3 linked regions of the Tribolium castaneum genome follow. The protein of the gene in region 3 purifies or fractionates together with the protein of the main gene of each other region. This does not show direct contact. Links are inferred from orthologs where the notes say so. Each region holds a gene or a part of one and is shown on either strand. Other genes may lie near its edges. The genes, in order: CXXC-type zinc finger protein 1, sxc and Set1.

Region 1 (4,332 bases), on a different chromosome or scaffold from region 3:
CCCCAAAGCGTTGCGCCAAATCAAGTTGAGGGAAATTGAGTCGTAATTTTACTAGGGTTAAAAAGAGTTGGTCAATTCTAGTTAACTTTTGGACTGTCCATTTGTGGTAATATTTTATGTCCAACTTTTCGATTAAGTGAAACAATGCTTCGAAAATCTGGCTATTGGGAAGACCGGTATATAAAACAATGAGTTTGTCATTTCCTTGAACATTTTCATAGCAAAATCGTACTGTCAGATATTGTATTTTTGCTTTAAGTTCAGCATTTTCCTTTTTGAGAAAATACATTTCTGCTTCAAGAGCCGCATGTGACACCAAGGGTGCTTGCACACCCATAGATTCTAACGGAGCATCTTGAATTATATCTGCTGGTGCTGCAACTACGGCTGTAGACGTCGATGGCACTTCCTCTAAATTCATTGTCGATGGTACTGTTTCTTCCGGTATATCAACACTATTCAAATGATCAAATTGTAAATCAATTTAAAACTAGGATTCACTTTTTACCTTAATGATTCAGCGGAACTAGAACAAGAAGGGAGTCCTTGTTTTTTCATCTTTTTTTTTTCTGGAGATTCCACTTGAAAATAGGCTCTTTTTGCGATATTGTGCAAAAATAATTCAGGACCATTTTCCTTTCTTCCATCCCGAAAATGGCAGCTGCAAACGTAGGCTCCTGGTCCGGGTTCTACATCTCTTCTACATTTAACAATGAAACAAGCAATTAAAAATTAATATCAAAACATCTATTAAAAATTACCTCAACAATTTTTTCCATAGTGCTCGTTCTTTTCCCGACTTAGGAAAACTAAAAAAATGGCATTTATCGCGAGTACTATAGTGTTTGCAATCTGGAGCCCAACACATTCCCATAGTTGTGATGTAAAAACCTACTACACATGAACTATCAAAGTATCGCAACAAAATATTATTCACAAATCATACCTAATGATGTACCACAAAAATGAGATAATGTCTTGGAAAAACAGAATTTTAAAAATTCAAGAACACGAAGATATGGAGAACGATCGGAAAAAACACGATAACAAAAGACACTCACGAAAGAAGCACAGAACTCACAACCCGTACTACTTTCAACCATGTATGTGCCTGAACCCTCTACCCTCGTATACCTGCTATTCATCCCTCGTGATGGGGGAGGGGGACAGAAAACAACCCGTTTATTGGGGTTGCGCCGGTTGCACCCCATGAATTCGTCATTCAGAAGAAATCCAATGTCATTAGTGTGGCAAACCATTTTTCCCTCAGTTTTAAAAGGCCACATAATAATTTACATCAATATGATGTCCAAATTAAGAAAAACTGAATTTTGAAGTTTGAAAAAAGTTAGGTTAGAAAAGGATTTATGTGTTCAACTTACAGAAATATTAGCTCAGTTGCTAAAATCTTTAAGAAACGACATTGCATTTTTCATAGCTATCATTTCTCTGTAAAAGTAATGTTCCTACACTTCTAGCATTAAAGAAATACGAAAAACTTTTAAATGCCCATAAGAAAAGCATTGAAAATGGCGATTGTTTAGCTTTAAGGTGCTGACCTACCTCAAATGTCTAACAGAGCTAGGAAAAGTGGCTAAAAGAAGCAAGGTTAAGTTAATTGAAGATGTCTCGAAAACGCGATATTTCGGTAATTTTTGGCATAAACCGGACAAAACTGTGTTTAATTTGCCTTGTTTTTAGCGCGAAGAGATCGCTAAACAGTTTCTGTTACCGGAGCGTCAATCCAAAATCGACACCCTCCTCAAGCAAGATGGTCAAGCTTATTGCATTTGTCGCTCCTCGGACAGCTCCCGTTTCATGATTGCGTGTGACGCCTGTGAAGAATGGTAAAAAACCACCTGCATGCCAACACATTGTTCAAATCATGCATTTCTAGGTACCACGGCGATTGCATGAACATCTCCGAAAAGGAGGCCAAAATGATCAAACAATACATTTGTATTCGCTGTTCCGAGGAGGACTCAACTCTGCAGACTCGTTGGCGGACCAAACGCGACGAAATCGCCAGTGCCAACACCAACACCGAGGAGCGCAAAGCCCGCAAACGCAAAGAACGAGGTGACACCAAAAACGACAAAAAAATGAAAAAATGCGGGGACTGTATGGGGTGTTACCGCACCGAGGACTGCGGGCGGTGCGACGTGTGCACGAGGCGGAGCCGTCACGGCTCCCCGCGCAACAAGGAGCGGTGCAAGCAGCGGATTTGCATAAATTACGGCGGGTGGGGTAGCCACGCCCCATGACTTGATTCTTGACCAATTGATTTGCAGGGGGAGGCGCAAGAGGCGGGATTCAAGCTCGGACAGGGAAGGCCCGCCCAATGCCCACCTCATGACCGACTATCCGCGCCAATGCTACGGGCCCACGTGTACCAATAGCGCCCGCTACGGCTCGAAATACTGCTCGGATCAGTGTGGCTTAAAGTTGGCAACCAATCGGATTTTGCAAGTGTTGCCACAGCGTATCCAAGAGTGGGCCCTGAGTCCCTGCTCTGCCGAAGAGTCCAATATCAAAGCTCTCGACCAAGTCAGGAAGCAACAGTTCGAAGTCAAACAGATTTTGCAAGAGTTGGACAGCCGGCATCGCGAATTGGACGCGATTATCGAGCGCGCCAAGAGCGCCACCATTGATCCGAACGCCGATTTCGACAACGACGAAGAGTCGGAAGTGTCGACCATGTATTGCATAACATGCGGACTCGAAATACATTCGAAAACGGCCATCAAACACATGGAAAAGTGTTTCAACAAGTACGAATCTCAAGCGAGTTTCGGGAGTATTTTTAAAACCAGAATTGAGGGGAATAACATGTTTTGCGATTTTTATAATCCAGCTAATCGGACTTATTGTAAAAGATTGAGGGTTTTGTGCCCAGAGCATTGCAAGGATCCGAAAATCGGCGAATATGAAGTCTGTGGCTGTCCATTGGTCACCAACGTTTTCGATCTGACAGGGGAGTTTTGTCGAGCGCCGAAAAAATCATGCGTTAAGCATCACGTTTGGGAGAAATTGAGACGGGCTGAGGTAAGATATTAAAAAAAAATGAAGTATTAATGCTACAATTAAGAAAGTTGCTCGAAAAAATCTACTTTTCCATCTTTTTTGCTTAGTAGAATTTGTATTGTATTGCAATATAGCTCAGGGTGGAATGTTAAGGCCGGCAAAAATATTTTGATTTTGATTTTGAAAAAAATACCTAGTAAATAGACGGGTTGCGTTTTTTTAAATTAATTGATGAAATTATTAGTTTTCGTCGTTTTTTTTTACTTTTTAAGTTCTTAATTGTTTAGTTTTAAAAAGTTTGTAGTTGTAGTTTCAATTCATGTTCATAGAAAATTCACCATCAATAATGGAAGAAAAAGCTTACGTAGTAAATAACACAAAAAAATGAAAAAAGTAAACGACAACGTAATATTTTAGAAAAAAGTTGTAAAAATGGTTACGTTTTCTGAAAAACAAAAATTTTTTAAATAAATAAAGGGTGATTTTTTAATAAATATCTTACTAAAGGAGATTGGTGCATGTTTGGTGACATTACAAAGAACTTTTTCAGGTTTTTTAATTTAATTTTCAGAACTACCTTGCATTTTTTGAGATTTGGGGTACAACAAAAAATGCCATTTGTCAATAAAAAGTGCCTTTTTTCACTTTGTTGACTTTTCTTTATTTTCATTAACTAATTTTTTTTTGAAGAAAAAAATGTCAGGCATTAATCGAGTTCAAATTTTAGATCGACTTGGAACGGGTGCGCCAGTGGTTGAAAATGGACGAACTTTTAGAAAAAGAGCGCCAAATTCGCAACACAATGGCCTCGAGAGCCGGAGTGCTCTCTCTGATGCTGCACTCGACATACAATCACGAAGTCATGGAACAAATAACAAAAGCGAGTCAGCAGGACCAAAACGCGATGCAAAGAGAGTTGGCTAAGAGATTCCGCACGTCTACCAAACCACGTTTCACGTAAAAACTTTATTTAAGAAAATATGTACAACATTATCATTGCTTGCTTGATTTCGGCAATATAGTTTGTTTGATCTCATCCAGGAGTTGTTTTCTCTTTTCTGCCTCGGCTTTGACCCTGTTTATGGCGATTTGCGCCCCGGCATGTCCCGTATTCAGCAAACTTTTAATAAAGGTAAAAATTGCGTCCGAATTATCCCTGAAACAAGTAAGAATCAGTATGGAAAGTCACCGGTTTTACACACTTTTTGGCAACCGGGGAGCCGGAGTCGCTCTCTGCAGGTTCCGGTAAAGCTAGCGCCGAAAAGTTGGCTAAAAGCACAACGAAGATGAAGAGACTGACACAAAACA
Region 2 (4,406 bases), on a different chromosome or scaffold from region 3:
TCGTCAAAAAAAAATCCTTAAAAAAAGTAAAAAAAAACACGCAGTTGTGGCTTAGTTTGGCAATCTTTTAGATTGTTTTATCTAAAGTTGTGTGAAATAATTACGTTTCTAGATAAAAAAAACGTAATAATATAACGCAAAGAACAAAAAAATAATTTCAACTTTGACCTAAATTACTCAATTTTGTGACAAAATTTCGATATCATGTCGCAAAAATGGTTTTTTAAAGTAATTAGGGAGTTTTTGGCTTGAAAAGAAAAAAAATAACGTAATTTTTCAGTCATTATCATTATTTATTAATGTTCAGCAATTTTGATTGTCTAATATACTACAGAGTAATTCAAAAAAGTCGGAAATACTTTCAAAGAAATTTAGATTAAAAACAAACTGAATTAAAAAAAATTCTATGACAAAAAATTGTTAGAGCCCTTTTTCACGAGATATAGCTCTTCTAAGTTAAATTTTTAAGTTAAGTTTTTGCTGCTTTAGATCGTATGTTTTTAGCTTTAGTTAGCAGAAACGACAGCTCTTGGAACATTAAACAAATACATATTGAAAAAATCAACAATTAATGTTTCATGATGTACAAAAGAAATAAAAAACTTGCAAATTTGACAATAAATTAAATTCGACGTCATAGGAAACAAAAGAACAAAAAATATATCAAAATTGTTTGAAAAAAAAATCTGACTTAATTTTTGTCTTTTAACACCATATGAGAGATGGTCTGTCACTTTTGAATTACCCTGTATTTTTAAGTACTAATATGTATAACGCAAAAACAGTAAAAAAATGTTGTCTTTACCACAACGTGGTGATTTTCTAAAAAAAAAAACACAAAAAAATTAAACAGTCATTAATGGCTTTTTGAATTGTTAACAATTGCTAACAATTACGGCAAAAAATACACAATTCCGCAATCTCTTAATCTAATTATTAAAAAAATTGTTATTATTATTTTCGGTTTGTTAGATTTTGTATTTGGGTAACCCTGTGCTTTCCCTTGCCTGAATTTTGCTAGTAATTAAATTTTCCCACATTGGAGTTTGATTTTATTGACAAATATTTGAAGTAATATTTAATGTGTCACTTATTGTCGCAATTTGAAATTCGCATTTGCAAAATCAAAATTTGCGCCATTTAGTGATTTCCCCGCATTCGGGCGTTTTCGTGCCATTCAAGGCCTACCGATCGCACCTCATCGGGCGTGAAATTGATAAGACGCCTTGTGGTTTTTTTGTGCTCCGAAGCTCGTCACAGCCCGGGAATAGTGCAAATGGTCCCATCTGGTAAATCCCATTGAATCGCAAAAAATCGTCGTGGGCCCCTTCGCACCCATTGACGACCAAATCCAGGTAAATAACGGACCATGGAATGGAAATTTCCACTCGCTTCCACCAATCACACGCCAGCTCCAGCAGCTCAAAGACCAATCAGGTCGCAGCTGCGCTTTGACCACAGTTCTTCAGTTGTCTCTCTTCAGTGGCGGCCATTTGAGGCCATCAGAGAATCGATTGTTGTAATTTAGAGCGTTTTTTGGTGAAAAACTGTGGTGAAAGTGTGCAGAAATAGGTCAGATAGGGTTTATGTTGGTGTAACGGCGTGCTTTACCATGCAGGACCAGATTGTGGTCGATGGTCAGAACCATCTCAGTTCTGGAACAAACAGCGGGTTGCCCATCACCGGTAGTCCCATTGTCTTAAAGATGAATGATGTTCCGCAGCTTTCGTCCGTTGGTGAGTCTTTGTGATGGTGAAATTGGCAATTGTTTACGTATTTTGTGTGTTAGGGCTTCTTGAACTTGCCCATCGTGAGTACCAAGCTGGGGATTATGAAAATGCAGAGAGGCACTGTATGCAGTTGTGGAGACAGGATCAGACCAATACGGGGGTTTTACTGCTTTTGTCAAGCATACATTTCCAGTGCAGGCGTTTAGACAAATCCGCACATTTCAGCACTTTGGCAATCAAACAAAATCCACTCCTCGCCGAAGCTTACAGGTATTTTTCATTGTTTTGGCTTATTCCATGAGTGTTCTACAGTTTTTTCTAAATCTAAAAACCTATAAGAGGTTTCTGAATGATTTGTTCACTGTAGAAAGTTAGCGAAGTTGGTGTCCTCTAGCGGACTTTTCGCAACTACAGAAATACAGGGGTGGCTTTAAAAATTGTGTAAAAATTTGAAGAGGTGATAGTGGGGGGGAGAAAAATGTGAAAATAACTAAAATTTGCATTCTCTAAGATCCCTGATATCGTCTAAGTTTGGAAAAATGCTGAAACAGGTCAATTTTGTATTAAAGGGGGACCAAGTTTTATTTTTTAGAGTTCTTTCTTTAAAGTTATTTGCACCCCTCTAGTGCTCAGAGCCACCCCTTCAAGAAATTTCAATTGCCACAGGGGTCGAGTGACGCAGCTGCTTTCATACTCTATTCAACTATGTTTTTTTTTCAATTTTGATCGATTTATTTTTTTGAGAATTACGGGAATTGTTTTAGGATTATAGAAATCTCGTTTAACGACTGTTTAAAATTTTGAACGTTTTTTGGTTTGGATTATGAAAGAAATGGTACGTTATCTGTGCTAGTGTGTTTACTTTTTAAAATAAACAAAACAACTGCCATTTAAGTTTTAGTTGAATAAACGCTTAGAAAATGTAAATTTTTGGTCATTTTCGATCAAATTTTGATTTTTTTTGGGTTTTTATCCTAGAACTTGCAAAAAATGTCTTCTTTGACTTTGTCTTCTTTTTCGTTTTAGTTTAATAAAAATAAAAAAGAAATCCTAATGTTTGATCTAAAAACGTGTTTAAATCCTCGAAACTTGTAATTTTTGACATAATTGTGTGATTTATTGACTTACTTTTTAAGAAATTTTGCACATAATTGAGTTTTTGCTATATAAACGCTTAGAAAATAAATGTATATTTTTGGTCAATTTTGACCAAAGTTGGTGATTTTTTCATTTTAGTTTAATAAAAATAGAAAGGAAGACCTAATGTTTGGTTTAAAAACGTGTTTAAATCCTCGAAACTTGTATTTTTTGCCATAATTGTGTGATTTATTGACTTACTTTTTAATTTTTAATAAATTTTGCACAATAATTGAATTTTTGCTGAATAAAGGCTTAGAAAAAGTAAATTTTTGGTAAATTTTGACCAAAGTTGGTGATTTCCTCGTTTTAGTTTAATAAAAATAGAAAGGAAAACTTAATGTTTGGTCTAAAACTTGTTTAAATCCTCTAAACTTGCAAGAATAATGTAATTTTTGACATAATTCTGTGATTTATTTATTGGCTTTTTAAGAAATTTTTGCACAATAATTGAGTTTTTTGCAAAATAAACGCTTAGAAAAGGTAAATTTTTGGTCAGTTTCGACCAAAGTTGATGATTTTTTCGTTTTACTTTAATAAAAATAGAAAGGAAAACCTAATGTTTGGTCCAAAACGTGTTTAAATCCTCGAAACTTGTAAAAATAATGTAATTTTTGACATAATTCTGTGATTTATTGGCTTACTTTTTAAGAAATTTTGCACAATAATTGAATTTTTGCTGAATAAAGGCTTAGAAAAAGTAAATTTTTGGTCAATTTTAACCAAATTGGTGATTTCCTCGTTTTAGTTTAATAAAAATAGAAAGGAAAACCTAATGTTTGGTCTAAAACGTGTTTAACTCTTCGAAACTTGCAAAATTAATGTACTTTTTGACATAATTCTGTGATTTATTGGCTTACTTTTTAAGAAATTTTGCACAATAATTGAGTTTTTGCTAAATAGACGCTTAGAAAAGGTAAATTTTTGGTCATTTTCGATCAAAGTTGGTGATTTTTTCGTTTTAGTTTAATAAAAATAGAAAGGAAAATCTAATGTTTGGTCCAAAACGTGTTTAAATTCTCGAAACTTGCAAAAATAATGTAATTTGTGACATAATTCTGTGATTTACTGGCTTACTTTATCAGAAATTTTGCACATAATTGAACAAAGGCTTGGGAAAAAAATTTTTTTGTCAATTTTGACCAAAGTTGGTGATTTTTTTGTTTTAGTTTAATAAAAATAGAAAGAAAAACCTAATGTTTAGTCTAAAACGAGTGTAAATCCTCGAAACTTGCAAAAATAATGTAATTTTTGACATAATTCTCTGATTTATTGGCTTACTTTTTAAGAAATTTTGCACAATAATTGAGTTTTTGCTAAATAAACGCGTAGAAAAAGTAATTTTTTGGTCAATTTTGACCAAATATGGTGTTTTTTCGTTTTAGTTTAATAAAAATAGAAAGGAAAACCTAATGTTTCAATTTTTATTTTTATTTAGTTTCTCAATTTTTCATTTTCAGGCGGTATGAACTACTTTTGTACCTGATTTTGACAATGATAATTAAAAAAAATCGGATAATGCATATGGTTATACTGTAG
Region 3 (3,785 bases):
ACAGAGACCGGGAGAGAGATAGGTATAGGTATCGTGAATTTGCCACGCCCAGTAGTTCGGATATGGGTTATGGCACCGCCTCTAGTGAATTTTCGGCCAGTTACGGATCGGCAGGTACCACGCCATTGGCTTACGATTATTCACACATGGCGCATCAATACCCGTACGCCACGCCCACTTATCACTGCCCACCCACAGTGTGGCCAATGGCCACGCCCCAATGGCCTTCAGACATGTGGGACCGCACCCCCATTCCCCCCAAATGGCCCGAAAAAGAACACACAGTTAAGGAATACAAAGAGGAGAAAAAACGTAATAACATTGCACCCCCCACTAAAAACAAGAAAGAAAAGGAGGAAGAAGAGAGCAAAACACTGGACTTAGACACGAGAATTGCCCTTCTGTTAAAGGGGCGTGGCACGGGTGATAAAGCCCCGCCTTTTTTACTACTAGGCGGGGATTCGGACGACGAATCAAAGTCTTCCTTTGACAGAATGCCCAAATCGGTCCCAATCCCAACATCTATTGACAGTGATGATGGTATTTGGTGGTGTGTTAGTGTTTCAATTTTGTAAAGTTGGTATTGCAGACCGGTCAAGTATCTCACTAAGTGACATGCCCATCAACCCCCCGGCCCCCGAGTTTGACTCAAATTCGGTCAAGTGTGACGATACAGCCCCCTTGTCAACGCCACCGTCGCCGTTTTTGTCCAAAGAAGTTTACCTGGAGTGTCACAAGGTGGCGCTGGAACAAGTGAGTAGCCATTTTCTATTTTTTTAATAAACAGTAACCGTAAATGGCGGAAATATTTAAAAAATATGTTTAAATGTATTATCAGCAGTTGTTAATCCTAATTGCGGTTTTTTCAGTTGAAAAATTCTAACCTAAAATTCACACACTTCGCTTATTATTTTTTTTTTGAGCCCAATTTCTGTTCCCGATGATCATTGCTTATATTTTTTGATGGTGTAATTGTTTTCATAATACTTTGTAATGAAAAATGATTTTTTTTCACTTTTTATTCACTTTTAAATTCCAACACAAAACACTATAAACACAAAAAACTGCATAAACAAAGTCAAAGCTAGTATTTACCACCACATACTTTTAAACTGACTCTCTATGCAAGAAATGGTTATTAAACACGCAAAATTGCTAAACAATTACTGTTTTCGACATAGTACAAATTATCATCACCAGGGGGCATCTAGTTAATTTTAGGATACTAATGAACTTCTAAGTAAATAATAGTCATTTTCTAAGTAAAATATTGTAAATGCAAAGTAAAATACTCTAAATGCTAGGTCCTAAATAAAATTTGATAGGCAAAACTTGGTAAATAATTTAATTGCTACTTGGTACTATAGTATTTTTAAATAAGATTTGCTAAGAAAAAATAATATTGTATTGTACGTAGGTATTTAACACTTACTTGCTAAGCTAAATGTTTGATAATATGCTAGATTATAGGTAGTATTTATAAAATGTAGCAAAAGCTTTTACTATAATTCTATCTCTTTCTTTCTAATGAAATATAATCGACTATCCTTAATTATTACAAATATTAGCTGTTTCAAAACTATAAAAACGCCTACGTCGCACTTTACTTTTGGTACACGCTGGTTTACTTCCACTTTATAAATACTACCCATTGACCAAAAACAGTTTTTTACGTGAAAATTCGATTCATTTACACATGTTTAAAAAAATTGTTTTTTCTTAAAGAGATTAAAGAATGACATAACCCAGTTGCCCTTCTTATTAAACAAAGGAATTTACAATGATAGATTTTTTCTGAAATATACAGGGTGATTCTTTTAAGGCCTACAATAGATACTGTTGAAATTTTAATAGAACTAAAGCTTTAAAATTTTGTATATATGATCCAAATCGACCATTCTAAATTCAACTAAATTATATTTAAAATGGCTCAGCTTACGGAACTATAAAAAAATGACGCCAAGTTTGAAATTTTAAATAGTAACCGAACATTTTTATTGCATTTTTGAATTTACCTTCTCAAACTGAGTAAAATTTACCTAAGTTGTTGGTACTTGTCTGTTAGTTTTTAACATAATTATGTCAATTTTTTTGTTAAAATTTTCATTTACAAGGGTTTATCTAAGATATCACAGCCCTTGAACCCTTTGCAATAAGCGAATAATTTTTTTGAATTGGATAACCCAAGGTTTGAAGAGTTTTTTAGAATTTCCGAAATTGTCAACTATCAAAATTTATGGCTAGGGTGATTTTTTCAAAATGGTTTTCAAAAAACTGCTGTAACTCAATTTTTTCAAATGGAACGACCCGATTTTCTTAACAGTAATCGAAAGAATATATATACTTGTGGTGACTTTTATCAATACGTTTTATACCTATCTCTTACAGTTTTTGAAAAAAATCACAAAAAACGGCTTTTAGTAGACCTTGTAAAATTCAACAATTGTCAAACTTCAATATTTTATTTAGCTTTTAGCTGGTTCATTATCGAATAAGCGAATTTAATTATAATAATTTATTTATTACAACTTAGTGAATTATGTAAAGTAACTCAGTCTGCTTTCGAATTTTGAACTTCTCAAATGAAAATGGTTAACAAATAGGACATTTCTTTTAATTAATAGCATAATTTTATCGTAGTTTTCAAAAGTTTACGTTTTTAAAAATGAAAATAATGAGCCAAAATTCTGTTTTTTGCGATTATTTCAAATACTGTAATGGATAAATATAGAAGATGTTAACAAAAGTCTGCATAAAAATTGACGTTCTTTTGATTGTCATTGAAAAAAACAGTTATTCCATTTGAAAAAACTGTTTTGTTATCATTTTTTAATCATCATTTTAAAAAAATCATAGTAGCCTTGCAATTTGACAGTTGACAATCCTAAAGGCTTGAGAAGACCCTCTAAACATTTGGCAAAGAGAAATATTTACTTATTGTAAAGGGTTCAGGAGCTGTAATATTTTAAATGAACCCCTGTAAGTGAAAATTTGTATAAAAAATTGACATACGTCAAAAACTATGGCAGATAAGTACTAACAACTAGAGTACATTTTACTCAATTTCAAGAGGCGAATTCAAAAATGCAATAAAAATAGGTGGTTACTATTAAAAATTTCAAAGTTGGTACCAATTTCTCGTAGTTCCAGAAAATCAGCAATTTTGAAAATAATTTAAGGTAAGTGAATACAATATCGTCATGCTAAGCTTCGATGGATATTTTCTCTTAAATAGTCAAATTAAAAAAAAAAGTTCAAACAGTTAAAAGATGTTCCTGGCATATTTGTACATTCTATGAATATTTTTTTTAAAACATTGCACATTGGCGTTATTGTCTCAATAACGCCACATAATACTATTCCTACAAAACATTATTTTTATCCAAAAATTTTCAAAGAAACTCAACTTTTCAAAAGTAATGCTTTTTGAAAAAAAGGAAACATAAATAAAACTCTAAATAAACAAACAACTAAACATAAAAGTAAGAAAGAACTTGCTGTATTATCGGGCATACCGTTTCTAACAGCTGCTAGAGCATGCTGTATATTTTCTTCAGACCATGTTCCTCTGATACCTCGGTTGCGGTTCCTGACTTTATTCATGAGGATTATGTAAAAAAAAATCTATGAACTTTTAGTAGTAATGCAAAATATCAAGAAAAATACACGTAGTTGGCAATATCGTCATTGGCGGTATTGCTACGCAATTGTTATGCCGGTATTACAGACACTCGTACTTTCAAACCTTTTGTTTGTTTGCTTTGCAAAAAAACACCAAATTTTAA

What was found.
Region 1: the proteins of Set1 (region 3) and CXXC-type zinc finger protein 1 purify together in Homo sapiens (affinity purification with western blotting; 16 studies listed by BioGRID and IntAct, counting the BioPlex papers as one, with this or other methods). This does not show direct contact. The link is inferred for Tribolium castaneum from reciprocal best matches to the Homo sapiens genes SETD1A and CXXC1.
Region 2: the proteins of Set1 (region 3) and sxc purify together in Homo sapiens (affinity purification with mass spectrometry; 4 studies listed by BioGRID and IntAct, with this or other methods). This does not show direct contact. The link is inferred for Tribolium castaneum from reciprocal best matches to the Homo sapiens genes SETD1A and OGT.

The regions. Positions count from the first base shown.
Region 1 is NC_087398.1:9,598,816-9,603,147, forward strand, and holds CXXC-type zinc finger protein 1, read left to right. Parts: upstream 1-1,514; 5' UTR 1,515-1,624; coding exon 1,625-1,648; intron 1,649-1,701; coding exon 1,702-1,847; intron 1,848-1,897; coding exon 1,898-2,242; intron 2,243-2,291; coding exon 2,292-3,045; intron 3,046-3,751; coding exon 3,752-3,985; 3' UTR 3,986-4,060; downstream 4,061-4,332. Other genes in the region: uncharacterized protein LOC107397902, read right to left, coding at 1-455, 509-700, 762-894, 947-1,286. UniProt on the Homo sapiens protein: Transcriptional activator that exhibits a unique DNA binding specificity for CpG unmethylated motifs with a preference for CpGG.
Region 2 is NC_087394.1:6,432,284-6,436,689, reverse strand, and holds the start of sxc (UDP-N-acetylglucosamine--peptide N-acetylglucosaminyltransferase 110 kDa subunit), read left to right. Parts: upstream 1-1,466; 5' UTR 1,467-1,612; coding exon 1,613-1,736; intron 1,737-1,789; coding exon 1,790-2,000; intron 2,001-4,406. UniProt on the Homo sapiens protein: Catalyzes the transfer of a single N-acetylglucosamine from UDP-GlcNAc to a serine or threonine residue in cytoplasmic and nuclear proteins resulting in their modification with a beta-linked N-acetylglucosamine (O-GlcNAc).
Region 3 is NC_087401.1:8,403,576-8,407,360, reverse strand, and holds part of Set1 (histone-lysine N-methyltransferase SETD1B), read left to right. Parts: coding exon 1-540; intron 541-589; coding exon 590-753; intron 754-3,785. UniProt on the Homo sapiens protein: Histone methyltransferase that catalyzes methyl group transfer from S-adenosyl-L-methionine to the epsilon-amino group of 'Lys-4' of histone H3 (H3K4) via a non-processive mechanism.